Linked DNA regions of Notamacropus eugenii. The main gene of each other region encodes a partner of the protein of the gene in region 4 in a complex. Links are inferred from orthologs where the notes say so. Each region holds a gene or a part of one and is shown on either strand. Other genes may lie near its edges. The genes, in order: DHX16, CWC27, PPIL2 and CWC22.

Region 1 (7,429 bases), on a different chromosome or scaffold from region 4:
TCTACTATATCACACAAGAACTATAAAGACCTGTTTCCCCAAGCTGGATGACTAGGCAGAGGACCCCAAAGCCAGTGCATCCTGACATCTACCCAGTCATTCCTTTTCCTTCTGAGCTAACTTTCAGTTGCACATTCATCAATGACACAAGGAAACAATCTCCAAAAGAAGTTTATCCCCCTGTTAATACGATGTATAACTTGGTCCTTGAAGAACCAACCACGGAGGGTTTGCAGCAAGCTTGAACATACTTTTCACGTGCAAGCAGTCTTTCTCATGGTTATCCTTTGTACCTCTTGCAGTAGTGTCTACATATAATCCAAACCTCAACTACAACCTGTCTCAAGAACCTGACAACTGATAAGAACATGAGATGCAGAAGTAGAAGGGTCCATATAGATCATCTAGTTCAGCCAACTCATTTTACAAATGAGTTAGAGGAGGCCTCAAATGGCTAAGACACTTGCCCAAGATCACATAGACAGAAGCAGTAGAATGGAGTTTAACCAAAATCAAGTCCTCTGACTCGAAACTCTTTCCATTATAACACACAGGGGATCTTTTCCAGGCATCTAATCTTGGCTCACAAGAGAGGTTATGGGGGATATGACTTACCATTGCTTTCTGGTCTTCTTCAGCCATCTTAAGGCGCTTCTGGGCCTCCTCATATGCCTAAAAGGAGAAATAAGGAGGTAGTTAAGGAACCAGGCTCCCACCCCCACTTCTACAGAATCATAAGGATCATGAAGACAGATTAGAGGTCATAGTACCTTATGGGGAGAATTGTCTATGAATGCAGATGCTAAAATGATGCTTAAGAGACTCTGTACTCAAAAAAAAAAAAAAAAAGACTGTACTCTCCATAGTCATACTTGCCAGAATAACAACAAACATGGGGCTACAAGGATCCAGTTCCCTTCATAAGGACTATCATCTGTGGGGTCACAAATCTGACAATGATATCAGGAGTATAAAACTACAGAGGGGCCTTCCTTGGCTGCCACTCTCTTTCGAGTATCTACATAAATTGTTATGAGACACACCAACAATTATGCACCTTCTTGTCTGACCGCTCCAAAATATTTCGTGTTCTCTCCTTGTCCCGCTTTCGCACACGTTCAGCAAAAGCATCCCGTTCCTCCAGGTCCTGAAGCCGCTCCCTCTCAGTTCGTTCCCACTCATCTTCTGACTCTGGCTTTTGCTCTTTGCTGCTCTCATTCACCCTGCAGATCAGCCCCAGTTTAGGTAAAGTAAGAGAGAAACAGAGTCTAATCATACTCTGACTCATAATTATTGGCTCTCCTACCCAAATTCCACTCCCCTTGGGGAACTTTTTGTTGTCAAGATACTCACTTTGTCCTCTTCTTGTCTCCCTCAGAGTCCTGCTCTTCTTCCTCCTCTTCATGGGTCTTCTTCCTAAGATGTTTCCGTTTCTTGCTCTTTTTTTGGGACCCACTTCTCACTAGGCTCTGGATCTCCCGATCGCTCTCTTCACTTTCCTCCAGAAGCTGGTATGAACGATTCTTCTCTAGCAGAGCCAAAGCCTCACGCTCTGCCACCCGGCCTGGCCTTTCTACAACTGCCTTCCGTGGGACCTAGGAAAGGAAGGGATGACAAAAGGTTATCAGCTGCTAGCTCCATTTGCCTATCTCAGTACCCTAGAGCACTTGCTTCACATCTTTCATCATCTATCCCTTTCCTATAACTCCTCAGTTTCCACACATCCATTTTATTTCCCCTTGTAACCTCCACAAACCAGCTGTCTCTCCCATTAAACTGTGAGCTCCCTGAGAATAGGGGCTGTCTTTTGCCTCTCTGAATCCTCCTAGTTTAGCACACGTGGTGACTGTGATCTCTTCCTACATGTATTCCTATGATCAGAGCTAGCACTAGGATATACTCAATGAAAACAACAGCTTCCCCAGTTGTGTGTGTTGAGGAGCAGTTCAGGTGAGGAATGAGAGGATGAAGCCCTTTTTTTTTGATCCCTGGATCCTTAATGGTCTTTCCCCTTGAATTTCCCATGACATTTTGTCTTGCTTCTCTCTCAAGTGAGGTTGGTGACCCTGCACAGCTCTCCCTCACTCAAATCAAAGTCATGTCATCATGTCATGTCATGGTCCTCTTGGAAAACTAAGGCCACACGCAACGACAACCTGATGGAACCATCCCACCCGCTGCATGCAGATCTACTGGTGTCTTATCCCACAAGTAGACCACGTAAACCCTGTAATGCCCCCTCGTGAGCCCCGCTGATGCCAGCCCGACGTGTGCTGCACTTTGGGGCCCCTCCTGCGCCCTTTCACCAGTTTCATCTGCAGGAGGACACCACATGCCGTCGGTGCCCGTGGGCATTTATGGCGCGCAGGTTCGTCACTATTCACAGCCGCTAACCTCCGCGCCACCGAGAGACGTGGTGGCCACGGACGGACTTCCCTCGTCTCCCAGAGGAGGACATCCGGCCCCGCCCCCACCTCCCCGGGCTTGTCTCCCCGGCCTCCGGGGGCTCCCTCCGCGTTCCCGGAAGCACCTTGGCCCAGAGCCTCAGAGCAAAGTCCCGGGCCGGCCCGCTGAGGTCTAAGGTGCCGGTGTCCCGCAGCCGCTCCACGAACTCGTCGGCCGTAGCACAGCGCTTCGCCGTGCCGATGAGGAACTGCGCGACGTGCCGCTCGCTCAGGCCCAGCACGGCGTGCAGCTCGTCCTGCACCCAGCGCTCCAGTCTGGCCGGGGTCGCCATGGGGACTTGGGCGCGTCAGCCGGCCCCGACTTCCGGCGCTCGGCCCCAGCGGGGCCCCGCGGCCACGGCAATGGTCCCGGCAAAGGCCGCGGCCCGGGCGCGTGCGCTCGGAAGGGAGGCAGAGCGAGGGCCCCTCAGGGCCCCGAGGCGCAAAGCCCGTAGCCCCGGCACCCACCACTTCCGGGCCGTACCGCCAGCCAAGCAGGCAGGAAAATGGCGATACGAAAAGGGACCTTTCGGGAGGCCGAGGACAAGAAAAACTTCCGGTTTGAATTCCTACCCCGTTTCTTTTTTTGGCTTCCCCCTACAGGAGTGGAGGTCTTATTGCATGTGTAGCGGGCGGCGTTACAGGCTTCGCCAGGCTTCACCTGCCAAGAAGAGGAGCATGAAGGATAGAAGTTAGATGTCTAGGAGGACTTCGCAGCAAGGAAAGGCCGGGAACCAGGATCTGGGGAGAGGTGGAAGGGTTAAGTGACTGCCTGCTCTCTCTGTGCTGGGGGAAGCGCCTCCTGGATGAAGTTTGAAGGAAGGATGGGATTTTCTCAATATCAGGGCTTTGGGAATAGTACAGTGGGCATTTGTGGAAGATATATAGAGATGCCCGAGAACTGGAAAATCACCGAGACACTCACTATTATGTCAACTGCCTTGTCCACTGGTAGAGGGGAAATCTCTCAATTAGAGACCAGACTGTAAGGTCTTAAAAGAGATTAGAGCTACAAACATTATATCTTGCACAACTGATTGCTTGGGTAGCAGTGTGTGCCTGAATATTTGAAATAATGGAAACAGTAGTTTCTGATATTCCAGCTCATGAAGTTGATACTGTTGCTTTCTATCTGCACATAACCTTGGGGAAGTTACAGCTTCTCAGGACTTCAGCTTCAATAGCTTTCCCAAACCTTTTCATCCCTCCTCAAAATTCCTGTGACTCCCTCCCTTATTCATTCAACTGAGAACATTAACTCATATTTCATTGAAAAAATTGAGACTGTTCATGGAGAGCTCGTTCTCCTAAGATCATTCGGATAGAATGATCCTTCACCTCTGTCTCACAGATAGTACTTCTTGCCATGGCAAATTGCAACATACAAGAACATTCTCTTCTCTTGCAGACTATCTTCCCTATTCTCTTGTTATTTTTTGGGGGGGAGTGGGGGTGGGGGTGGGGGGGGTGTCCAAGCAATTGAGGTTACATGAGTTGCCCAAAGTTACACAGCCAGTAAGTGTGTCAAGTGTCTGAGGCTGGATTTGAACTCAGGTCTTCCTGACTCCAGAGCCAGTGCTGTACTCACTAGGTCACCTAGCTGCCCATGTTGTTAATCTTTAGTCACTTTTTACCTACTAGCTGCTTCCCTACTTCCTAACAACGTGTCCTTGTTAACCCCATCCTCATTTGATCCATCTATCCTCATAATTGTCCTTCATCTTTCCCCCCTTTTTTGTGGCTACCCTCCTTGAGGTTGTCTACAATGGGTGCCTCTACCTTCTTTCCTGTCTTAACTGTATAGTTTAGCTCCCATCTTCATCATTTAACCAAAACTACCAATGATGTCCTAATTGCCAAATATAGTGACCTTTTCTCAGTCCTCATATTTCTTGATCTCTTTGCAGCCTTTGACACTATAGATCACTCTCTTAAAAAAAAATACTCTTTCCTCTTTAAGTTTTTATGACAATATTCTTTCCTGGTTCTTCTCCCAGTGTGAATGCTTCTTCTTAGCTTACTTTTCTGGATTCATTGAGGGGAGGAATCATTGTGGAGAAGAAGCCCACCTTCCTATCCAACTGCCACCAATAGTCAGATGGGCCCTAGAAGTGGCAACAGGTCTTAGATCACTGGTCCTGTTTCAGGCCTGGCCATTACAGTCATCATCTAGAGAGGTAACTCCTCTGGTGAAAGAGCCAGCCATCCCCAGAAACTGCCAACCAACTGCCACACACAAGATACCTAGAGAGAGAGCCAGAAGGCAGCATGTGTCTGGCAAGTCAGATTATCATTACAACCTTGACCACTATCTCCTTTCGGAACCTATGGGCACAGGTCATGATCCTGAACCTGAGTCTTGGGAATAGCAATGCTTCCAACCTCAGTGCCTTCAGTCATCGTCCTAGGAAGCAAACCCTGTGTAGATGCAGCCTGACAACTGCTCTTACAGGCGTTACAGCCACAGCTAACTGGACCCAATGTAGTCCTGGAAGACCCAGGATTCTTGCTACCAAAGCCCTTGACACTGTAAAATGGTTCATTATCAGAAACCAATGATTTTATCAGTGGAAAGGACATAATCTGCTTTGCCTCTGCACCCTGAAGATCATGAAACCTTTCCAATATGTTATCTCTATTATAATGTGAGCTCCTTGGTTAAGAGTAGGGACTGTCTTACTTTTCTATGTATATCCCCCAGTGCTTAGCACAGTACTTTGCACACAGCAAGTTCTTAATAAATGTTTTATTCATTCATTTGAGTGATGCCCATTAGCCTTGGGTGTCCCTAAAGTGTGCCCTCTTCTCCTTTCCCTTTATACTATTTCACTTAGTGATTCCAAGGATTCAATTACCTCTCAATTGATGACTCTTAGATCTACTTACCTAGCTCCTCACCTCTCTCCTGGCCTCTAATCTCCTGTCTTCAGATGGATGTTCTGCAGACATCTTAAATTCAACATATCCAAAACCAAACTCATTATTTTTCCCTCCAAGACCTCTTCTCTTCCTATCTTTCCTATTATTGTCCACTGCAATCCTCTAACTACTCAGGGCTTGTAGCCTATGTATCATCCTTAACTCCTCACTCTCACTGCCCTCCCCATCCAATCTGTCACCAAATTCTGTTCTTTCTCCTTTTTGTAAAAATCGAACTATCCGTCATCTTGTTCTCTATTCTGACACTGCCACTATCTTGCCTTATCACCTCACACCTGAAATATTGAAGTAACCTCCTGATTAGTCTCCCTGCCGCGTCTCTCCCCACTCCAATCCATCCTCTACTCAACTGTCAAACTGATCTTCCTTAATGCACACATCTGACCAGATAACCCTTTTCTTTCACTCAACAAACTCCAATGGTTCCCTATTACCTCTAGGATCAAATATGAAATTCTTTGGTCTACAAAGCCCTTAATCTTCCGGCCTTCTCCTGCCTTTCTGGTCTTTTTATACCTTACTCTGCAATCCAGCAATACTTTGGATGGAACCCATCTCTTGATTCTGGGCATTTTCAAGAGCTGCCTGAACTCCTGGCATTCTTTCTCTCATCTCTGTCTCCTGGTCATCCTGGTTTCCTTCAAGATCCAGAAAAAATTCCCCCTTCTCTGAGAAGCCTTTTCCAATCCTCCTTAATTCTAGTGCCTTCCTTCAGCTGACTATCTTCCATTTATCCTGTATCTGTATTGTTTGTGCATAGTTGTTTACATGTTGTCTTTGGATCTTATTAAATCTTTCCTTGAGAGCAGGAACTGGTTTTTGACTTTCTTTGTATCACCAGTGCTCAGCACAGTACCTGGCACACAAGTAGGTGCTTAATATATGTTTGTTGACTGAATTTCTTTGTTCATAAAATGAAGATAATTGGACTAGATGAACTCTAAGGGCCCTACCGGGCCTACAATGAATTCCTTTTGGAGCCAGCTACAATAGAACTCCCTACCTCCCTTCTATGGGCTACACACCCTAAGGAGGGAGATTTTCTTAGCTATTTGTGAGGGTATCAGGTCCACTTCTCCATCTTTTCAGCTCTTCTCACTTGATTTTTTTTTCCCCCAAAGCTGTTCCCCCTGCACTGAAGTCTCTTCTTCTGCTTACAACCAACAAAGCTAAAGAGAGTTCAATCTGTTCCCTAGAACAGGGAATGCCCTTCCCTTCCCCTAGAGCATGAAAATCTGGTCAAATTCATGCTTCCCACCCCATAGACTTCTCATTGGAAGAATTAAAGATGTAGCCAGAGAGGCCTCCATTTTATTACAGAAAATTAAAGAAGGAAAAAAAGGCCATAGACAAGGAGATGTAAGGTAGGACCTCATTAGGACCCTCCTGTGTTCCCTTCAGTTTAATTCTGGGTCACTGGAAGAAACATAAGAATTAACTGCTACAAGGGAGGGAAAGATTGAGGTCACCCCTCCTCCTTTTGGAAGACCCAAATAATACTGAACAAGGCAGGGTTAGGGAGGCTAGACATTCAAGAAGAAAGCCAAGCTCCAAACAGTAGAAGGCAAGTGAGAGGACCGCCCACTGGTTGAGTTGTGGTAACATAACCATGGCAGGTGTGATCTGTAAACCTGGAACTTTGGCTGAGTGAGACTTGGCAAAGTGGAAGCTGTAAACATAAGTGGGTGGAGACCCAGGCAGAAAAAAAGTACATCTTTAACCCCCAGAGGGGATGGATGCACCTGTAAACAAACAGAAGGAATGAGGGCAGAACTTCTCAAGGCAGAGTGGCCTGCACTTACCAACCTTGGGGCAGGGTGGGGTGTTGGCACGGTGGGGTTAGCAATGGATAGAGTGCTATTCAGAAGGAAGGAAAATTCTACCTTCTCATGACTCAGTAGGCTTTGCCCCCTTCCTTAGGGGATTTGGATTCTTTGACTCCCAGAGAGCCAAAGGCTCTCTCCTTTCGCTGAAAATGTCTAGAACACATTGTACAACAGTCTGAACCTAAGATCATGAATTAGAGGTCAGATGGGTTCTTCCCC
Region 2 (6,951 bases), on a different chromosome or scaffold from region 4:
AAACAAACAGTGCATACTTGAAATTTCAGAAGTGCTTTTCAAATACAACAACCCTTTAAAGTGAGACACACCAATACGGTTGTCAGCATTTGAAAAGATGAGAATAGCTATGCTCCTATTAGTGACTTGCCCATGGTCATACAGAGAGTACATGCTGCAGCTTGGCACACTGGCCATCAAGCCCAGTTAATTTCATCTCTGCAATATCTTTTCACAACCATCTCCTCCTTTTTATTTTTTTTACATTAATTTATTTGTTTTCAGTTTTCTACAATCACTTCCATAACTCTTAAATTTTCTCCCCCTTCCTCACCCTCCTTCCCTGAGATGGCTTGCAATAGGTTCTACACATACATTCTTATTAAAAATATTTTTACATAAGTCATGGTGCATAGAAGGATTAAAATGAATGGGAGAAACCATGAGAAAAACTAAACCAAACCAAAACATAACACAAGAGAAAATAGTCTGCTTCATTCTGTGTTCCCATTCCATAGTTCTTTCTCTGGATGTGGATGGCATTTTGCCTCAAGAGTCCTTTGGGAATGTTTTAGGTCCTTGCATTGTTGTGAAGGGCTTAGTCTCCTTGCACACTGTAGCTGTTACTGTCTATAATGTTCTCCTGGTCCTGCTCATTTCACTCAGCATTAGTTCACATAAGTCTTTCCAGGTTTTTCTGAAGTCCGACTATTTGTCATTTCTTATAGCACAACAGCATTCCATTACATTCATATACCACAACTTGTTCAGCCATCCCCCAATTGATGGGCATTCCCTCAATTTCCAGTTCTTGGCTACCACATAAAGAATTGCTATTAATATTTTTGTACATGTGGGACCTTTTCCCATTTTTATGATACCTCCTCCTTTTTCTTCTGCACTACCATCCCCCTCACGTAGAAAATAATCACTATTCACGTGCACTACTGTAATAGTCTTCTACCGTCCAATGAATGCTTTCCTCCTCTGCTGAATTCCTCATTTGGAAATCAGGTCACATCACTTTTCTGCTAAAAAATCTACAATAGCCTTAATTTACTGCCTAGGCAAAGTTCAATCTCTTGTCTGGCATGTAAGGTACCCTCCAGTCTGGCATTACTACCGTCATACATCAACTATCTAGTTCAGGCCAAAGTGGCTATTCTGGGAATGTACCTTTAGGAATCTTTTTCATTAGTCCCAAAGGAATTCCCCTACCATTCTTTCGTCTACTGAATTCCTATCCATTATTTACAATTCAAATTAAAATGCCAACTCTTTCTCTGGGACCTCACGTAGCATTTTACATAAATCTCTAATGTACACATCATGTATAATTTTATATTATAATTTGTGTGTGTGTGTGTGTGTGTGTTATACTCTCCAGAAATACTAAGTACCAAGAATGTAGAATGATCCCTGACTTACCAAAATTCTACTTCCCCATATCCCTTGACAACGTAGATTTGGGGAGGCAGTTTATAGGATCATAGATTTAAAAATGAAAGTTATCTCAGATGCTATCTAGTCTAATCCTATTATTTTACAGGTAAGCAAACTGAGTTCCAGATACGTTAAGTGAGGTACCCAAGGTTATACAGGTATTAAAGAGGCAGAGAATTTAAGTGGGTCCTGACTCCATCTCCAAGCACTGTACCATGAAGTGGGCAATTAATACATGCCTATTGAATTGATTTGAGTGTATTCCCAGGAATGATACTTTAAAGTAGGTAGGACAAGTATTCACTTAGGAAACTGGCTCAGAGAAATTTTCATTCTTTAACCATGCCTCAATTTGGGGTAGGGATTCTTAACTTGGGATACAAAATAGACAAGAGGTCTGTGGAAAGATTTTAAGGAGACTGTGAATTTAGATGGGGGAAAAAGACTTCTTTTTAAAAACTAACCTCTAATTAAAATTGAGTATTTCTTTCAATTATTTAAAAACATTATTTAGGTGAGGGATCCATAGGTTTTACCCGACTGCCAAAGGGGTCCATGACCCAGGGGAAAAAAGGTTAAGAACTCCTGATTTAGGGCCATAGAATTTAGAGCTGGAAAGGGTCCTTAAAAACCACTTAGTGTATAACCTCTTTTAAAGGAGTCAACAGAGGCACGAAGAAATTAAGGGGACTGTGTCTTGCTCTCTGGTGGTGGTATGTAGAAAATATGTCACATCTAGATTAATTAAAATTAGGCTTTGGTTTCTAGACACTTTTCACTACACCACCCTGTCTCTGGAGTTTAACTTAATTAAAAAAAAGGCATTATTACTATTAAAAAACTTTTAAAAATATCACGCTTCCCCCATCTCTCCTACTCTCTCCCCCACAAACATCTGTGCACACACACCATGTATACATATATACATACCACATGCAGACATGAACGCACAACATATATACCTATAAACACACACCACATATACACTGTCCACAATACTGTCATATATGTAACACCACATACATACCACAAATATACTTTATACATTCGCACGCACATGCATGTACACCACATAAACATATACCCATGCATACAAAATACATCACATAACATATGCATACCACATGCATATACAGCATGCTTACACTCATACATGCACGCCACATATAACATAATCAGACACACATATATTCATAAACATATATTACATAAAATATGTATATACCATATATACACATATAAGCATACACATGTAAACACATACACACACCAGACATGACATACAACTACAAACATAATGTGTTTGTGTACACGCATGTGTATACATGTACGCAACACAAGCCACGTACATGTCTATATCCCACACTCTCAAGCCATATCACAGCACACATTTCGCCCACATAATACATGCTCGCACATGTACAATCACACACAATCATACTACATTCATATACGTATAAACATATACCACGCAAACGTAATCAAATACGCCACCCAATGACATGTGTGCTGTGTTGTATCCCACTCTTCATGACCTGTGAGGTGGTTCTCTTGGCAAAGATAGGCGAGGGGCTGGCCACTCCCCTCTCCAGTGGAGGTGATCTGTCTAGGGCCGCACAGCTAAGGAGTGTCTGAGGCCTCACATGAACCTCTAGGCACGGATCTACCTAGCTGCCTCCACCGCCTGGTACACACACCGCACATACACAATGACACAATCACACATGTGTTCGTACGCTACACACACATACAGACACCACACATACACACTCACGTACACGTGATCACATATGCACAATACACCACACACGTGTTCCCACTACATTCATACATGTAAGTACATCCCCCATATACACACTCACAGTCTACAATCACACCGCACACACACATACACAATCCACCACGGAAACCTGACCTCCCGCTCACGCTCTCCCTCGCCCAGGCCGCAGAGCTCCGAGCTCCCCCGCCACCTCCCTCCCGGCTCGCCTCCCCGTGCTCCGGCCGACCCCGGGGCAGTCACCTGGCAGGGCCATAGCCCGGGCGGAAGCAGCCTCTGGGCCTCAGCTGCCGTTGCCACCGCCGCCGCCGCCGCCGCCGCCGCCGCCTTCGCTCCCCGGACACCGCTTCCGGTGACTCCGGCTGCGCCGCGGGTTTCCCCTCTCCCGCCACAGCCTCCTCTTAGGGACCCGAGTCCCGAGGAAGACTACAGAACGCGGCAGTTTCAGCCGCAGTTCGCGGACGGAGGCATAAGACCGAGCACTGGTGGTCCAAACCATTTCTGACATATACATACACCGGGGGAGGGCGTTTAGGACTTGCCAATCGTTAACTAAAGATTGATTTAAAACAAAAGAAAGTTTCTTGCGAAGCTAGATAATTAAATGAATATTAACTTCAAGCGGATGCTCAGCGGGCTCTCTTCACTCTCTCCAGGAGAATTTCTGTAGGAGAAGGTCGAGGACACCCCTCCCCGCAGAGAGCGGTGCGCAGGGCCAGGTGCAGTATGGCGGCCGCCTGGGTCAGTTAGTGCCTTGTTAGGCTGTCGGAAGGGCAGGACCGGCAGTTGATGCCGTAGCTGAGGCCGCCTCTAGGAGCTGTCAGGACTGGCCCGCTGGGCTTTCCCTTCGCCGTGCAGCGCGGACGGTCAGACAGAGAGCCCTTGAGCCTCGTAAGGAGCCCGGCAGCGGATCTCCCCTCCCCCGACAGCCGTCCAGGATGAGCAACATTTACATCCAGGAGCCGCCCACCAACGGAAAGGTGAGAGCGCGCGCGGGCGCGGGGGAGCTTCCCCCTCGCTTCCCTGTTGGCGGGGTGCGCTGTGGAGAGCGCCGGCCGCACCTTGGAGTCGGGAGACCCGAGTTCGAATTCCCGCCCTGTCGTTTACGAGCCGTGCCGCCTTGGATCAGTCACTTACCTTCCCCGGGCCTTAGTTTCCTTGTCTTTAAAGTGAGGAAGCTGGACTAGATGACAGCTAAGGACATGGCAGATTCCATCCCCCATACTTGGGGAAGATTTGCAGTTGGACCCGACGCGAACTGGGTGCTCAGTTTTTCAAAACACACAGAGAGGGGAACTGTCTACTTTCTCCTCTTTCCCCCCAGCCTTCCTTCGACCTCAGAACTTTTGAAGCAGGGGACTCTTAACCCTCTTTTGTGTTCTGGACCCCTTTGCCGGTCTGGTGAAGTCTGTGGAACCTTTCTCAGAAGAATTTTGAATAATTGGTTAGTGAAAATAAGGATGTAATTTTTTTCCCATGCAAATTTACAGGAACCTCTTCCCCCCCACCCCCCCAAAATCTGTTTACATCCCCTAGGTAAAGAATCCTTGCATGAAAGGAAGCCCAGTCAAGTATTTATCATGAACCCACTATGATCCAAAATCCGGATTCTGGAATCTGGATTCAAAGGATCCCAAAGTGGGCGAAGCTGGAAGGATCCAGGCTCGGGGCAGGACTGGTGGTAGAAACCTTGGGTGCAGTTGGGAGAGCTTAATAAAAATAAGGGGCTGTGGAAGCACAAGGAAAGAAGAGAAGAAAATTTTGAAAAACTTTGTACATGTCTCATCTGTTGTGTAATGAAGTCAAAGTCCTTGTGAGTAAGTGATTTTCCAAATAAGCATACAAAGTGCAAGCTATAGCCCATCAGTGGTTAAGTCCAGGGGCAGGTCTTAAACAAGCAGATGTTGGCAAGTGAGGTTGCCCTGCATTGTCAGAAAGTCCAGAATATCAGCGGGAATCCCTGCAGGCCATGACTTTTTACAATAGGATACTATGTTCAAAATTTCAATGCAGTCAAAAACCCCACAAATTTATAATAAATTATTAGATTTAGCTTGTGTAATTTAAAAAAAATTTTTTTGAAATGATGCAAATTTTAAAAAACACTTTAAAGTGTTAAAGAAAACTTTCTTTGTAGATTTCCAGGGGTGTGCCAAGTAATGTTTTTTTGAAAAGGGTCCTTAAGCCAAATAAGTTTGGGAACCTCCTATCTAGATGCTGGAGATCCAGGTAGGGCCTTTGGTACCACCTAGTCCAAACCCTTCCTGTTGTAGATGTGGGAAGGGAGATGGAATGATGGGACTTGCTTAAGGTCACCTGGCTAGTAAGTGGTCAGCCAGCCAATAAGCATTTATTAAATGCCTACTACAACATTTATTAAACCCCTGTGACAAGTGCTGTGCTAAACGGGGATTCAAAAAGAGGGAGAACACAGTTCCTGCCATAAAGGAGCTCACAGTCTAATGGGGGAGACAACAAACAAACATGTACAAACAAGTTATATACAAGATAACTAGGATATAATTAAGAGAGATTTGGGGCACTAGAACTAAGAGGGGTTATGAAAGACTTTCAATGAAAGACGGGATTTCAATTAGAACTTAAAGGAAACCAGGAAAATTACTAGGCAGAGTTGAGGATGGAGAGCATTCCAGGCCTGGGGGACAGTCAGAGAAAATGTCCTGAGCTGGGAGATGCAGTATTTTGTTCCTGGAACAGCAAGGAGGCCAGTATCAGTGGATTGAAGAGGATGAGTACATTTCATAGAGTAAAGGCTTAAGAAGAGTAAAGGAGGGCTCTAGAATACGAAGGGTCAAACAGAGGATTTTTGTATTTGGTTCTGGAAGAGATAGGGACCCACAGGAGTTTTATCAAGAAAAACAGTCAGTAAACATTTATTAAGCACCTGCTTAATTGCCAGGTACTTTGCTAAGCACCAGGGATACCAAAAGGGTAAAAGAAAGTTCCAGGCCTCAAAAAGCTTATAATCTATGAGGTAGACCATATGCAAATCTATGCAAAGCAAGTTATATACTGGAGAAATAGAGATAATTGAAAGAGTGAAGTTTATTGAATAGACATGGTCGACCTTGCATTTTGGGAAAATCATTTTTGGTTGAATGGAGGGTGAATTGAGTGGGAGAGACTAGAAGCAGGCAGACCCACCTGCAGGCTATTTTCAGGGTTCACTTTAGAGTAATGACAGTGTCAGAGGAGAGAAAAGGGCATGTTTGAGAAATGTTGCTGCAGAGGTAAAATCAACAGGCCCCTGAGAAAAGATTGGAAATGGGGGTTGACAGTGAGTACAAGATAACTCCTAGGTTGTAAGCCTGAGGACTGGGAGGATGGCTTTGCCCTCTACAGTATTAGGAAAGGTAGGAGGAGGGGAGGGTTTAGGAAGTAAGATAATAAATTCCATTTTGAATATATTGAGTTTAAGATGTCTACAAGGTAGCTGAAGATGTGAGATTGGAGATCAGTAGAGAGACTGGGAAAAGAAGGGTAAATTTGAGAATCATTAGCTTTAAGGATGATAATTAAATAGATGAGATCTGATGAGATCAGCAAGTGAAGAAGTAGTATAGAGGGAAAAGAAAGCCCCAGGTAGAACCCTGAAGGATATCTGTGGTTGGAGGGCATGATCTTTGGGAAGATCCCACAAAAGAGACAGAGAAAGAGTGGTCAGATAGGTAGGAGGAGAATCAGGAGAGTCATATCCCAAAAACCTAGAGAGAAGAGAATATCAAGAAGAG
Region 3 (7,625 bases), on a different chromosome or scaffold from region 4:
GGGGTCTCCCTGGCCCCCCATGAAGAGGAGAGCTGCCAGAGGGCAGGGAAGGGCTCCCTTGTGCCTGTGTCCCCAGCATTCAGCCCAGCGCCTGCCACAGAGCCAGGGCTTTCTCAGTGAGTGCCATTCGCCGTGTTACCACCCTCCCTCCCTCCCCGCAGCCTCTGAGCCCCCGAGGGCCAGCCTGAACCCCCGAGTGTCGGTGGCTGGGACCACGGTCCTCCGTGGAGTGGCCTGGAGCCAAAAGCCGCTCACACGGGCTCATCCAACAGCCCACGGGGGGCAGGGAAGCTCTTACCTGCAGTGGTCAAACGGCAGGCGCCGGAAGTTCGCCTGTGGGAGATCTGTGTGAAACGAAGCGGGGGCCGGCGTCACAGCTGGCTCTGGAAGCAAGGCCGCCAGGGGGCTCCTACGGGCACCCCCAATTCCAGTGCCCTGGCGGAGGAGGGGCAGCAGCGCCCATCTCCCGGCCCCGCTCTCTCGGAACCCTGGCCCAGGCCCCACCTCGGCTTCAGGCTGCTCACCAGCCAGCCCCAGCATTCCAGGGGTCACCCTGGACGCCCCCGGACCCTTGTAACGCCAAGGCCCTGCCACCCAGGCCGGAAGGAGCCCGAGTCCAAGGGCCTCCCTGGAGCCCTGGCCGTGCCCTGCGCCGTCCTGGGCACCCACTTTCACGTCCTGCTGCAGCCCCTTCCTCCTCGTGGGCCCCCCAGCGAGCACTTATTAAGCACCAACTGTGTGCCAGGAGCGGAACGCTCCCTGCCCTCCAAGCGCGGACGCTTCTTCAGGAGACAAGGGGTAGGTCTATAAGGCCCGTTTGGGGGGGGGGCGGCAGCCGGGGGGCCAGGACAGACTTTCTGCAGAGAGAGGAGGGGGATTCTGGGGCAGCTGTAAGGAGAAGCACCCCAGGCAACGGGGGCAGCCGTGCAAAGGCGCAGAGGCGGGAGATGAGGCGTCGCGGGGGCTAAACAAGGCAGAGCTGGGGGGGGCGCTCGAGGAACACGATTGAGACAACGGTGAGAAGATGCTCCCCCCGCCCGGGGTCCCCGGGGTCGGGCCGGCGGCGGGTACTCACCCGGCTTCTTGCCCCCGTAGAAGTGCGTGTACTCGGCGCAGGTGATGTACCTGAAAAGGGAGGCGAGCGTCACGCCACGCCGCGGAGGGCGGCCCCGCCCCCCGCCCCCCGCCCCCCGCGGAGCGCCGGCCCTCACATCTTATCCTTCTGGTGCTGCCGCTTCCCCATGGCGGCGGCGGGGTCGGGGCCGGGGTCTGCCACCCGGGCGCCCCCGAGCTCAGGCCCTCCCAGACAGCCGGCGGGCCGCCCGCGCAGCCCACTTCCGGGGTGCCTCCGGAACTTCCGGTGAGTCTTCCGGAAGTCTGTGGTGTGCCGGGAAATGTAGTCCCGCGGGTGGGGCGGGGGCCCGCCGTCACGGAGCATGTGCGGGGAAAGTCAGCGAGGCGAGGTCCCGTATGGAGAGTACCCTAAAATGACAGAGGGCCGTGGGACCCCCGAAAATCGCCCCCGCGATCTGGAGATTCGCCCAGGAAAGGACCTTGGAGCTCATAGGGACCCATCTCGTACAACCCCCTCGTTTTACAGATGGGGAAGCTGAGGCACGTTTGTCCAAGGACGCGCAGGTTCTAGGTGGCAAATGCAGGCATTCGAACGCAGGTCCTCATCTCCAGCCCCCTTGTTTGATAAATGAGGGTTCTGAGGTCCAGAGAGGGAAACCCTTTAATCCACACCAGCCCCCCGTTAGTTCCCAGGCAGCAGGATCCATCAGATTCAATTAAACAACCACATTAAGCGGCCCTGCAGGGGAAAGGCCAAGGAGGGCTGAGGACGCAGGTGGGAGCCCCAAGCAGTGGATGAGCTCCAGCACAAAGGAAAGGGAGGAGGACGGATGACGTCACCCCTCCGCCTTACGGTCTGGGAGGCCACTCAGGCACCATCCCTCCGGCTGCGCCCTGGGCCTCACAGTTAGAGCCACACCTCCTGGGGCAAGGTTTTACGTGGGTTGTATATGTTGATCATCGGCCATAACAGAAACGAAAACAGCTTGGTGTTGTAAGAAAATAGTTTTGGAAGAATCCCAGAAAGGGTCTCAGGGACCCCCAGGCTACACTTTGAGAGCTGCTGCCTTAATTTACAGATGAGAACTTTGAGGTTCAGGGAGGCGAAGGTGCAACCCAGCCTTTCCCCTATGGTGATAAATCTGGGGTCAGGGTCATGGGCCAGTCTGGATCTGTGGCTGAACCTTAGTTTGTAAGAAAGGCTAGTACTACTTCCGGGACTGCGGTGATGCCTCCTTATTGTCAGGGACCCCCAGGGATCCCTGTAAAGCTTCCTTCCCTTCCCCTTCCCCGATGTTTGGCTCATTCTGGATGCAAAGGTCGGAATTCTGGAGCCAGAGAATAAGCTAGTGCCTCAAGGAGTCCCAAAAGAAAGGGCACCTTAACTGGGGCAGGAGAGGACAGTTCTTAACTCTGGGAGCATTAATGGAGGCAAAGGTGGTCTGTTATGGGAGGAGGGACGGGAGTCAGGGGCTCCAGAAATGGGAAGTCACCTCCCTGCAACGTGTGCCTCCTTGAGAGCGTGGGGTAGGAGAGGACAGAATGTTCTTTAGCTCGTGCCCTGGACAGCCCGGAGTCTAAACGCACTCTTCACCATCTTTGTGTGTGTGTAATTGGTTCCCCATCCCTCCCTCTCTCTCTCACACACACAACATGCAAGCTTGCTATGTGTAAAGCGACATAAAAATACGTATGAATTAGAAATGGTCAGTAGAAGGGAATTGGGAAGGGTTTCTTCTGCCAGGTGAGCTTTTACTCTGGACTTGAAGGAAGCCTCAGGAGCCAGGGAGCGGATGCAGGGGTATAAGCGGAGTCTTCTGTTCCACCCTGGAGAGGAGAGGGAGTCTCTAGGGATGATTGAGTGGGGGAGGGTGACATGGTCAGGCCTGCCTTAGGAAGATCAGTTTGACAGCTGAGTGGGGTACACTGGAGTGGGGAGAGCCCAGCAGCTGGCACTGGCAGGAGGGGATGTGGGCTTGCATCAGGGCGGGGCAGCTTCGGAGAGAAGGGGGCGTGTACCAGAAACATTGCGAACTCGGCTTCTGATTGGCTGCAGAGGATGAGGGGAAGTGAGGTGCTGAGGCTGACACCTGGGCTCGGAGCCTGGAGGCTCTCGACTGCACTAAGACTGTTAGGAAGAGGAGAGGGTTTGGGCAGGAAGACGAGTTATGTTTAAGGCTCGATATCCCGCACAAAACATCCACCAGGCAGCTCTACAGAGACGTGAAGCCCACGGTCAGCAGAAAGGTCAGAGATGGAATCTGAGAAGCAGGCCTAGAGGCCCAGGCCTCCCCACTATCTACAACCCAGAAAAGGAAGGATGGAGAGGATCGTTAACCCATTTCAGAGGAGGAAACTGAGGCTTACCAGAGGTGAAACTTGATAACTCGAACGAGGTGCTGACCCACCTCTTCTGCCTTCTGTACCAAGCCTTCCTGATCCAGGGCCATACCCATGCATGGATACCGCATACAATACTCTGTATATAGCTTGCACACCCTAGTTATCTAAGTCCACCCCATTAGAATATGGGTCCCTTGAGGGCAGGGACTGGGTTTTTTTTGGCCTTTCTCAGGATCCAGGTGCTTAGTCCAGGACTGGGCACAAAGAAGGCCCTTTCCAATCTGCCTCATTGACTGACTGTGGGCTATGCTGCTCAGGGAGCCCAGGTGTCCCTAGCTCCGAAGGGTGTGAAGGCCCGTGGGAGCCCTGAGCCCAGCCACATGGAGGGAGCCCTTCTGACTCATCCCCACAGCAAAGGGAGAGATCGGCTCCCTCAGAAGCAAACAGACCACGTTTCATCGCTGGGTGTGCCGTGACTGAGACAGGGTACCTGGCACAGTAGGTGCTTATTCATGGATGGACTGAGGAGAGACTGCTTAGATCACCCCTCAAGATAGCTGGGGAGAGAGACCCCAGGTCCTTGGAGACAAACCATGAGCAGATCCGTCCCCATCAGAGCTGGCTCTTCCCTTTCCTGGGCCCCACCGCCCCCTCTGTTGAGAACAAAGACAGAAAGTTCTGTGTGGGTTGTTGGTATCGGTATTAACATTCTTCACCGTACCAGCTGTCTCAATGGCATACACAGCACCAGCAAAGAAAAAATGTATAATTGCTTATAATCAGTCATCACTCTTTCCAGATGCCTCCAAGCTCTCCAAACTTCTCCTAACCCTCCGGGCCCTTGGACATGACTCACTAGAAGCAAGGGCTCCCCATGGGTGCTTCCCCCAGCCCTCTGCCCCCATGCCCCACCCCCAGACAGACATCTATGGGCCACTTCCAGAGTGGCTGGTTGTAGGGGCCTCAGGGTCAGGCCAACAGGAGGAAGGCAGGGAAGGTGGGTGGGGGAGATTGCTCTCACAATATGCTTCCTTCCTCCTCAGAGGGAGGCTCCAAGGGTGCTGGAAGAGAGCCATAAGGGGTGGGGGAGGAGAAGCCAGGCCTGCCAGCCCCTGGTAGTGAGGACCCTTCTGAACAGTTTGCTGGGCATCAGCCGCTGCTCCCCGGGCTAGGACTGTCAGCGCTGGGAGGAGGTCCTGAGCTGGCTTGGCCAGGGGGCTGCACTGTTTCCACAGTCTCCTCAAGGCTTCCACTGGGGAATACCACATATCGGGTGCTGCCTGAACCCTGAGCGTCCTTCACATTCTCCTTGCTGTGTCTGATTCCATAGCCAAAGTAGACGCCAAGCCCTGTGGGGGTTAGGGGAAAGAAAGGTTAGGCTGCCCAGGAGGCCTGTGCCCATCTGAGAGGAAAGCATACAAGAGGTTACCCAGCCTCTGCCAAAACATCTGTAGGCATAGGAAGCTACCATTTAAGGCAGCCCATTCTAATCGTAAGCTTTTCCTGACATCAAACAGAAATACCACAGTGTACAACAACCTGACGGAGCTGTTCAGAAAGAGGTGTTCAGTCTGTTCTGTTTAGTTCTAGAAAGTAGAACCTTCCCATTGGTAAAGGAGTCACAGGGCTTCATATATTGAGACATTATCTAACGGTGAAAGTGTCCAAATGAGAACGGGGCTGCCCCAGACATCACAAGATCCCCACGACTTCTGGTCTTCCTACAGGGGTCACATGACCTCTTCCTAGTCAGGGATGCTGGGTTAAGACCCAGATCCTTAACCTGGGATTAAGAACTCTTTTTAAAAAATATTTTGACAACTATTTTAAAATTGTGTTTCCTTTGTAATCCTGTGTATTTTATTTTGTGCATTTAAAAACATTATTGTGAGAAGAGGTTGCCAGACTGCCACAAACAACCTGGTCACATTCCCCTGCCCAGGTTTAGATTCTCTCTCCTTTAAGGTCCCAGGGAACCGGGGACTTCTGATTCTGCTTAGGAGCCTGGGGTCAGGAAGGGAGAGTCCAGCCAGACCAGACAAGATAGACTGAGAAGAGGCACAGAAAGCTTCCACTCTCAGCTGTCTCCTCCTCCCCAACCTGAGCCCTCAAAGCGAGCCCCAATCAGATGGTAAAATGGTCATAGTTTATTTGAAAGGGATAAAGTCCCCTCCTCAGGGCAGGAACAGAATATAAACTAGAAGCCCCTTGAGAGCAGGGGACATTGATCTCCAGGGTTCACAAAGCACCTGGCCCTCGGTAGATGTCTGCTGCATTGAAAGGCAGTGGTGTGTGGAGATGACAGTGGTTCCCAGCCCTGGAGAGACCCTATCAGCCCCTGAGAATGAGAAGCCAGAGCTCACTTGGACACTCACCTGCCAGTAACCAGATAGCAAAACGCAGCCAGGTCATATAGCTCAATTTCATCATGAGACAGATATTCAGAAGGATGCTCAGGGCTGGAATCAGAGGCACCCAAGGGATCTAGGAGACAGTGGAGGGCAAGGTTGAAGCACAGAGTAGTGGGGAAAGAGTGGGAGAGGGGAACTGGGCAGGTAGGGGTGTGATCTGCTCAGCTCACCCCCCTCCCAGAGGCTCAGGTGTGGTCACAACAGTACCAGGGTTGTGAGCATAACCAAAATCTCTCTCCTTCATCTACACTGGCTCCTTATTCCCTCTCTTCTTCCATCTCAACCCTTCCAACCTCCACCAAGAATGAGGAGAATCATCATTGGCTCTGAAATCAATTTTGTTTAGAAATATACAGTCAAATAGAAGCTCGAGCAGCTAAGCTAAGAACCCCAGGTGCCAAGAGGGGACTTGGTCGGTGTGGGAGTGGGCAAGTGTGTCCTAAAGGGGATTCTAGGGGTCCCAGAGGTGAGTGTGGGAAGGATTTGCACCCAGGTGGAGGAGTCAGTATATGTGCTGAGGTAGTCATTTAGTCAGCCAACAAGTAGATATTCAGTGCATACTATGTGTTAGACATTGTGCATAAATGTGTGAGTGCTCCTTTGGAATGAAAGAATGAAAAACCTTTGCAGTCAAGTCCTCCTCCCAATCCCTCAGGCTCTTAAACCAGGGGTCATCCTGGATCCCTCACTAGCTTGAACCCCCCCACATACATTCAAGCTGGTTTAAAGGCCTGTCAATTTCACCTCTGCAGCATCTCTTGTTCATTTCACCATTGCAACATCTCTGATCAGTTTCAACTGTACAGCATCTGATGTCCATTCCACCTTTGCAACATCTCTTGCATATAACCTCCTTCTCTCCTCTGACACTTCCCCAACCTTGGAGCAGACCCTCATCACATCACACCAGGACTGTAGCAATAGCTATTAGGGATGGGTGTGGGGAAGGGGAGGTCTGCCTGCCTTGAGTCTCTCCCGTTCCAATCCACCCTCCACTCAGTTACGAAAGTCATTTTCCTAAAGTGCAGGTCCAAGCATGTCACCCCTACTCACCATGGCTTTGATGCCTTCCCATGTTTCCGGTCTTTTACCTTATTCCCCCCCAACATGTTCTCTTTGCTCTGGTAACACAGGCCTCCCAGCTGTTCCACAAACAAGACCCTCTATCTGTCTGCTCTGGGCATTCTCTGTAGCCACCCACATGCCTGAGACATGCTCCCTCTTTTGCTGACTATTGACCTCCCTGATGTCCTTTAAGTCCCAGCTAAAATCTCATCTTCTACAGGAAGCCTTCCCCAACCCTTTTTATGCTGGAGCCTTCCCTCTGTGATTATCTTTAGTTCATCCAGCAAATATCTGGTTGGTACTGAGTCGTCTCCCCCATTAGACTGTAAGCTCCTTGAGAGCTGGCCAGAACTTTGTTTTTGTCTTTTTCTGTATACCCAGCACTTAGCACCAATGCCTAGTACATTAGGGCTTAAGAAAAGATTATCTTCTGACTGACTGACTTTCACACCTAGTGAAGACTCATCTAAAATCCCACCTTCTGCAGCAGGCCTTCCCCAGGGTCCCTAGCTGCCAATACCTTTCCCGTTTCAGATTGCCTTCAAACCACCATATAGGTATCTAGTTATTGACATGTTGCTCCCCCTATTAGAATGGAAGTTCTTTGAGGGCAAGGACTATGATTCTTGGGAGGAGAAAAATTGGAAGGGAGGGCAAAAGGGCTGAGGAAGTTGGAGGAGGAAAGTTACCTGGAAAGTATCCTGGCTTGGCTGCTGCTGATGGGCACCAAGG
Region 4 (6,975 bases):
CTTGCCATCACACAGATTTATCAGCCCCACTCTCTCTCGTCCAGAGCCTTCAACGTCCAGTGGTAAGACAAAAGTCAAGACAACTGGTAATGACCCAGGATGCAGTGGATGACCTTGGTGTTTTCAATGTCTAAACAGACTCTTAAGAACTTCATAGCATCTGCTTCAGCCACCTTCATGGCCCTTGGAACATATTGTTCCCATCCTCCCAAAAGTCTTCACATGATGGGGTAGACATCCCCCTAACTCACTGAAAGTTTTGAAGCCTGTTAGTTACCCTCAACCTGGTGTAACTTGTCTGCCAAGGCAGTTTTACCATGCTGTACCCACTGAGCATGCTAAAGTTTCTTCGAGCCACAGGTGAGAGTTGAGCAACAGATGAGCACCAAAATTGGGTGTGTGTGTGTGTGTCTGTGTGTCTGTGTGTCTGTGTGTCTGTGTCTGTGTGTGTGCAAGCAGCCCAAGATGATCACAGTTCTGCCCCTCACTGCCTACTCCATCCTTCTGGGCCTCTACCTATATAATGAGGTGATTGAACTAAATGACCTCCAGGGTCCTTTCTAGTTCTTAACCAGTGATCCTATGTGATTTTGACACAGGAAATATTGGTGGTAAGGGAGATACTTACATGTAGACTATTAGTCTAGACTAGAGTCACTCTTTAAAAGGTTAATGCACCTCCTAGTGTCTCTGAAAAAACTGAAGGTCACCCTTTAGTGATTCCCCATTTTACTTATACTGAATATAACAATGTCTGTTAGTGAATGGGGAGGAGGGAGCTCAGGTGAGATTTCTTTCTACTTTCTGATAATAGCTATTAAGTGTTGTACAGGGTGATATCATTTAAAAATAATAATTTTCTTTAAAAAGTCTAGAATCCTTCTTCAGGAATGACTGAGATGAAAATTAAAAGAATGGGATCAATAAACTGAAGAAGAGCTAAGGAAGAAAAATGCCAGATTAATTTGCATTTTTACAAAGTGCCCAGGCTAGTTACTTCTATTAAGGTTACGTTAAAACTTTGCAACTTTTACTTTTTTATTTTAAAACTCCTTTAGTGTCTTTAATAAGGAAAATGTTTACTTCAAGAGAATGAGGATAAGAAAGAAATTGTAAACCTGCATCCCCTTCCTTAGTAGATCTGATTAGGCAAGAGCCTAATGATGGCCAGAAGATGGCCAGTTAAGTTGGGTTTTACCAGCTAGATGCCCTGCATTACCTTGCCTTTTTCTAAACCTTAAACCTACTGCACCCTGAAGTTCATACATTGGACGACACTAGGCCTCTGCCTAAGGGCTCTCTTCTGGACCCTCACGGCTTAAGAGTAGTCAATAGTAACCGTTGCTGTTTCCCTACCAGCCTGAGGTTGTTTTTTTTTTCTACGCCTCATTAAAGGGGTCATCCCAGGTTACTTTAAGAGGCCGATTCACTGAATGGGTGTTACCTCACCCTAAGTGAGTTCCTGAAAAGACTTTGGCACAGTCAAGTACAAGTTATGTCATCATTTCTCTGATGGCATGATCTTCTTCGGCAACGAAGGATGAACGCAGCAACAACAGATCTAATTGAAAGGAACCTAGAATAAAAAGAGGAGAGGGAGATAGTAATTACCAAGGGAAAGCAGACAGACACAGAGAGAAAGAGACTGAGACAGAAGCTTTTGGGGAACCAACCTATAACCCAAAAGATTTAACAATCACAGCAGAGCCTTGGGGCATAACCACATCTTTATATGTGCTTCAGAAAATTAATAGCAGGTGGAATCTATAAATATTTTATTAATTTAATGGGGATGATAACCAGGGTTGTTATGAAAATCAAATAAGATACTATCTGTAAAGCATTACATTAATGTTAGCTATTATTATTATTCTATTCTATTAACTTCATATCTGAGTATATCCTTTGATCTCCTTCACCCTCACTCAATGATCCAACCTATGTAACAAAGTATCTTAAAGAGAAAAAGGAGCTCAGCAAAACTAACCAACACATTGACCTAGAATGAGAAAATGTACAATCTTCTACAACCATGGTTGCCAACCTCAACAATGAAGGAAAGAAGGTACATTTTTAAAGTTCCTCTCTCGAGTCAAGGTTGGTCATTACACCATTGTTTTTGTTATTGTTGTTCTTTTCATTTATATTGCTATTGTTTTACATATTGTTTTTCATTACTTCTGTTTACTCTGCATTAGTCAAAGTCATCCCAAGCTTCTCTGAATTCTTTATATTCACCATTTCTGGTACAAAGTAATACTCCACTTATACTATGTTACTATATAACAGTTTGTGTAGCCATTCACTAATTGGACAGCTACTTTGTTTCTAGTTCTTTGCTATTACAAAACATGTTCCCACAACTCTTTTTATGTATATAGGATATTTCTTTCTATCCTTTATTTTCTGGTGGATATATGCCTAACAGTGATATATCCTTGTTATATGTATTTAGTCACTTTTTAAACATAATACCAAATTGCTTTCCCAAATGGTTGGACTAATTCATAGTTCTAAAAACAGTATATTGTTATTATCTTTAAATAGTTCTTCAACATTATCTGTGCTTATCTTTTGTCATCCTTGCCAACGTGCTGGGTATGAGGTGAAACCTGTGGACTGTTTGGATTTGAATTTATTACTAGTGATGTGAATTAATACTTCATATGTTTAACAGCTTACAATTCCTCTGAAAATTTTTGTTCATATCCATTGATCATTTATTTATTGGGGAATTAAAGCTAGGTCTTAAATATTTGTGTTTGCTTCCTATATATCTTGAATGCTGCATCTTGATCACAAATATTAGAGGCAAAGATTTTTACCCAGACAAAAGCTTCTTTGTTAACCCTGTTGCATTGATTTGTTAGTTTAAAAGCTTTTCAATATTATATAATCAAAATAATCTCATCTTTTAAGATCATTTCTATCCCTTGGTTCAGAACTCTTCCCCTAGCCACAGATGTTCTCTTCTTCTAGAGTGTGAGTGTGTGTGTGTGTGTGTGTGTGTGTGTGAGAGAGAGAGAGAGAGAGAGAGAGAGAGAGAGAGAGAGAGAGAGAGAGAGAGAGAGAGATTGATTTAATATTTAGGTTGGTATCCATATTGAGCTTATTTTGTAATATTTTGTAAGATGTTGGTCTACATTTCATTTCTGCCAAAGTAATTTCCAGTTCCGAACAGTAACTCGCTTGGGTTTTTATCAATTACCATTCCAAATTAATTAATTTTTGATTCATTCTTATCTAGTTTTTCCACCGATTTTTTTAATTTTAACTACTAACTACTAAATACTAACAACTTCTAACTTTTAACTACTACTTTACCTTCTACCTTTAAGTGTATTTGGATGATAATACTTTATGGTATAGTCTGAGACCTCAAAATGCTGTTTCTCCCTTCATTCACTATTACCCTTGAGCAGCTTTCTTTTTACACAAAAAAACAGGGTTTTCTCTATTTAAATTGTGGCTTTCAAATTTGCAAAGCACTTTACTTACATGATCTCATTTGAGAAAAGCCTAAGATGGTTGTTCCCATTTTTCGGGAAATAAAGGTTAAAATAAGCGGCATGCCCAGGGTGGTCCCGCAAATAAAGTCGGAGGCAGCATCTGAACAAACCTTCCCGACTTCTAGCAAACCTAGTCTAGCCATAACCCAGGCAGCTCAATACCTTTTTGTCGCGTGTTCCTGTAAAGGCAGAATTCTGCAGCTTTATAGGCTTTGTAACTCCTGAAGGCACAGGGAGCAAATACACTATCGGGCATTTCCAGGGTTTTCCTGCAGGAGTATCCCGGACAACTTAATAACCTTCTCAATCACGGTAAGACAGCTTTAAAGCTGAGCACCCGAGCACAGTTCTCACACAATCGTGAGTACCTCTAGAGGTAACAAGGGGAACTCGGATTCCCAGAGAGCATTGCGGCCCCGGCCGTACTACAACGTCCACTATGCACTGCGCGAACCCTCCCCTCTACGTGGGTGTACGCTGGAGCTTGTAGTTTTTTTGAACACTTCCCTAGTGACCATCTTGGCGAAGTAGAAATTTCGGTGGTTTGGGAGTGGTCGGCTTCTCTAGATGGTATCGAGATTTGGGATTATTTTAAAACAAGAAAAAATCCAGCTCTGGAAATACCGACGGCTTCTCCGTATCCAGGTTTTGAAATCAATTATCATTCACTTCCTCTCCACAGCCACCCAGCCGCCCCAAACCTCGAGTTAGGGCGGGGCCAGAGGAACCGGAAGTTGCGTGGTGGAGCATTATGGTGGCGCAGTGGAGCTCCAGGTATTTGCTGAACGCGTTTGCGAGGAATGGCGGAGCGGAGCGGGCGTGGGGCTGGGGAAGAGGGGCGCGGGGCTTCCGCATGTGGCTGCTTTGATGTACAGAGGAGGTCTGGGCAGAGCTGGCGCCCCTCGACGTGGGGCCTGCCCCTGCCTCTTGGCGGGTACGCCCCGGAGTGGAGGGATGGGGTCGCTGCCGGAGCCCTGTCCCCACGCGTGGGGATCGGGGAGGTGGGGGGGGGGGGCTCTGGGCGGTTAGAGGTGACCCCCCCCCCCCCCGACGTTTCTTAGGCGTCTGTGAGTACACAGCGCTGAGCCACAATGCCGGCACCTAGGAAGCGCTGAAGTATTTCTCTCCTAGTCCGTTCCTCTCCTCCTTTTTACCTTTACCTCGTCTTCCCTTTCCTCTTTTCCCCCTTTCCTCCCCTAATCCCCCATGTTCATTTTCCTTCCCCTCCTTCCTCTCCATTCCCCTCTAGCCTTCCCCTCTCTTGACCTGAAAGTTTGGTTAAAAAAGGCAAGCAGCCTGAATACATATGGTTTATTCCCTTAGAACTTGGGGTTCCATGACTGTGGAGCCGGAAAAGTCAGTCCCTAATTCTAATACAAGAATGACCAGGCTTCAGTCTGTTTTAGGACGTCCAGGCGTGTCTGTGTCCCTCAGATCTACGGTCTCTATGTGGGTTTAATCATTCCATGAGAAAGGAATTTTCTTAATTGAATGGATTGTAGATACAATAAGGTAACAGAGTTGACAAAGTTTCAACTGAAATTGACTCGACATCTGAGTTTTCTTCACCATTAACATACCATAACATAGTATATGTCCACAAAACATTAAAAATGTGGAAAAAAGCCCTATTATTCAAGACAGCGTCTTGGGTTAATAGTCTCATAAAGTATACTAAGTTAGCCCCATCTGGTCTTGCTGACATAAGAAGAGGTATTCTCTGAGTTTACTTTAGAGAACAAAGAGACTGTTAGGTCCAGGCTCTTCTGACTGATTAATTCAAGCTCTGGCCCTTATTAAAGTCCAAAAATGATAGTAAATGTTATCACCCTCTCTCCTCCTTTCTCCACTACTTCTCCCCCCTTTCTTTTCTTCTCTCCATTCCATATCTTCTCTCTCCATCCCCTGCTCCCCTTCTCTCCCTCTCTGCCCACCTCTCTCTGCTTTCTTCTTTTCTCATCCTACTCTCTCCTCTCTTCCACCTTTGTCTCTCCTTTTACTGTAGTAAGAGGGAGAAGTGAGGCTGGTGACCTGCACAGCCCTCTCTCACTCAAAACAAAATCAAGTGCAAGTCATGTCATTTCTCCGATGGCATGGTTTTCTTCAGCAAGGAAGGATGAACACAATCCTGTGAGTAGATGCAGCTGGCTGGATGGGGGGACCCAGCTAGCTGAGTAACTCAACTCCTCTCCTGTCTGCCTCCCTTCCCCTTTCTTCTCCTCTCCAAAGGAAGATAAATTTGGATGGCCAAAAGATGCCCAATTGACTTGGGTTTTATTGGCCCCTGTTCCAGCCTGTCCTGTCTTCTCCTGTCCTGTGACATTAAAACTACTGCACACTGAAGCTGGGATGCCTATGGACCCCTGCCCAAGGGCTCCTCTGGATCCTTCTAGCTTTGGAGTGATTATCAATAATAACTGTTGCTGTTTCCCACCCAACCTGCTGTCTTTGTTTTCTTGATCTCATTAAAGGGACCATGCTCTGGCTACTTCTTAAACGGGCCTATTCAATGAATGGGCATTGCCTCACCCTAAGTGAGTACCTGAATAGACCTTGGCCTAAAGGGGCCAAGGTCTCCCATTGCATTCTGGGTCATCTCCAGTCATCCTGGTGAATATCCGGTCACTGGATTCAGATGGCTCTGGAGGAGAAGTGAGGCTGGTGACCTGCACAGCCCTCCCTCCCTCAAAGTCAAGTGCAAGCCATGTCATCATTTGTCTGATGGCATGGTCTTTTTCGGCAACAAAGAACGAACACAATCCTATGAGTGTCAAAATATGTGTTCATTCAGTTTAGGTCTTAACAAGTTCTTGATAACATTACCTCTTCAACCTTAGCCACAAATGTTTCTGTGTAAGCTTTGATTATCAAGTTGCTCTGTTTTAAAAATTAATTTTTAAAAAATAATTATTGATGCCTTTTGTGTTTTATAACAGTCTCATTTCTGGAGAGAACAAACACTGCCTGCCCTACCTCTATTGAAGCTTCCCTTTTAACAAAGAAAAGCAACTAATATGGTTACCATAATCTAACAGCTTCTTTATCTATTCTCCAATACTGTCATTGGTTTTTCAGTTACTTAAAGTTTGGTTTCATTTTAAAGATCTTCATTTTGTATTCTTTTGGTTCTCCCTATTTCATTGAATTAGTTCGTACAAATCTACCATGTTTCTGTGAATTCTTCCTTTTTGTCATTTCTATAAAGGATGACAGCACTGAGGGCCATTTTATATTTTTCTTTGTTTAGTGGCTGTGTTCCAAGTCATCACCAAGTGACAAGCTTCTCTGTATTTAGTTAGGCTGATCTTCAAAAAGTAAACACAGTGTGTGGCATGGACCAAACTAAGGATTGGAAAATCCTGCTCAAACCTAATCTTAAACTAGTATTTCTGTGACTACTTTAAAATATTCTTGTGCAGGAAGGTGCAGGTGTAGTCTTGCTGAGTTGGTTGCTTGTGACAGGATA

Evidence for each region.
Region 1: CWC22 (region 4) and DHX16 share a complex: the UniProt entries of both Homo sapiens proteins name them as parts of the minor spliceosome. The link is inferred for Notamacropus eugenii from reciprocal best matches to the Homo sapiens genes CWC22 and DHX16.
Region 2: the proteins of CWC22 (region 4) and CWC27 are in contact, whole or in part, in a crystal structure (PDB 6YVH), measured with the Homo sapiens proteins. The link is inferred for Notamacropus eugenii from reciprocal best matches to the Homo sapiens genes CWC22 and CWC27. Residues at the interface, in NP_001362958.1 of Homo sapiens: Leu239, Arg242, Lys243, Tyr245, Arg246, Asn248, Asp249, Lys250, His270, Glu271, Val272, Leu275, Glu276, Thr279, Leu280, Leu281, Glu283, Arg284, Thr286, Asp288, Ser289, Val292, Val307, Ser308, Pro309, Arg310, Gly311, Thr367, Met369, Leu372; in NP_005860.2 of Homo sapiens: Arg381, Glu382, Asp383, Gln384, Thr385, Leu386, Leu388, Leu389, Phe392, Lys393, Lys395, Leu396, Thr397, Ile400, Glu412, Asp415, Asp416, Glu417, Gly418, Trp419, Met420, Ser421, His422, Val423, Leu424, Gln425, Phe426.
Region 3: CWC22 (region 4) and PPIL2 share a complex: the UniProt entries of both Homo sapiens proteins name them as parts of the minor spliceosome. The link is inferred for Notamacropus eugenii from reciprocal best matches to the Homo sapiens genes CWC22 and PPIL2.

What each region holds. Positions count from the first base shown.
Region 1 is NC_092873.1:84,542,470-84,549,898, forward strand, and holds the start of DHX16 (pre-mRNA-splicing factor ATP-dependent RNA helicase DHX16), read right to left. Parts: upstream 3,001-7,429; 5' UTR 2,738-3,000; coding exon 2,531-2,737; intron 2,523-2,530; exon of another isoform or gene 2,316-2,522; coding exon of another isoform or gene 2,307-2,315; intron 1,596-2,306; coding exon 1,354-1,595; intron 1,224-1,353; coding exon 1,058-1,223; intron 673-1,057; coding exon 616-672; intron 1-615. UniProt on the Homo sapiens protein: Required for pre-mRNA splicing as a component of the spliceosome. Contributes to pre-mRNA splicing after spliceosome formation and prior to the first transesterification reaction.
Region 2 is NC_092875.1:319,599,188-319,606,138, forward strand, and holds the start of CWC27 (spliceosome-associated protein CWC27 homolog), read left to right. Parts: upstream 1-3,949; 5' UTR 3,950-4,137; coding exon 4,138-4,179; exon of another isoform or gene 4,180-4,643; intron 4,644-6,951. Other genes in the region: protein SREK1IP1, read right to left, coding at 3,443-3,455. UniProt on the Homo sapiens protein: As part of the spliceosome, plays a role in pre-mRNA splicing. Probable inactive PPIase with no peptidyl-prolyl cis-trans isomerase activity. As a component of the minor spliceosome, involved in the splicing of U12-type introns in pre-mRNAs.
Region 3 is NC_092875.1:8,218,370-8,225,994, reverse strand, and holds the start of PPIL2 (RING-type E3 ubiquitin-protein ligase PPIL2), read right to left. Parts: upstream 3,018-7,625; 5' UTR 1,439-3,017; coding exon 1,212-1,438; intron 1,126-1,211; coding exon 1,076-1,125; intron 345-1,075; coding exon 299-344; intron 1-298. Other genes in the region: SLC7A4 (cationic amino acid transporter 4), read right to left, coding at 4,567-4,766, 5,793-5,901, 7,583-7,625. UniProt on the Homo sapiens protein: Has a ubiquitin-protein ligase activity acting as an E3 ubiquitin protein ligase or as an ubiquitin-ubiquitin ligase promoting elongation of ubiquitin chains on substrates.
Region 4 is NC_092876.1:243,434,611-243,441,585, reverse strand, and holds the start of CWC22 (pre-mRNA-splicing factor CWC22 homolog), read left to right. Parts: upstream 1-3,966; 5' UTR 3,967-4,154; exon of another isoform or gene 4,155-4,443; intron 4,444-6,975. UniProt on the Homo sapiens protein: Required for pre-mRNA splicing as component of the spliceosome. As a component of the minor spliceosome, involved in the splicing of U12-type introns in pre-mRNAs. Promotes exon-junction complex (EJC) assembly.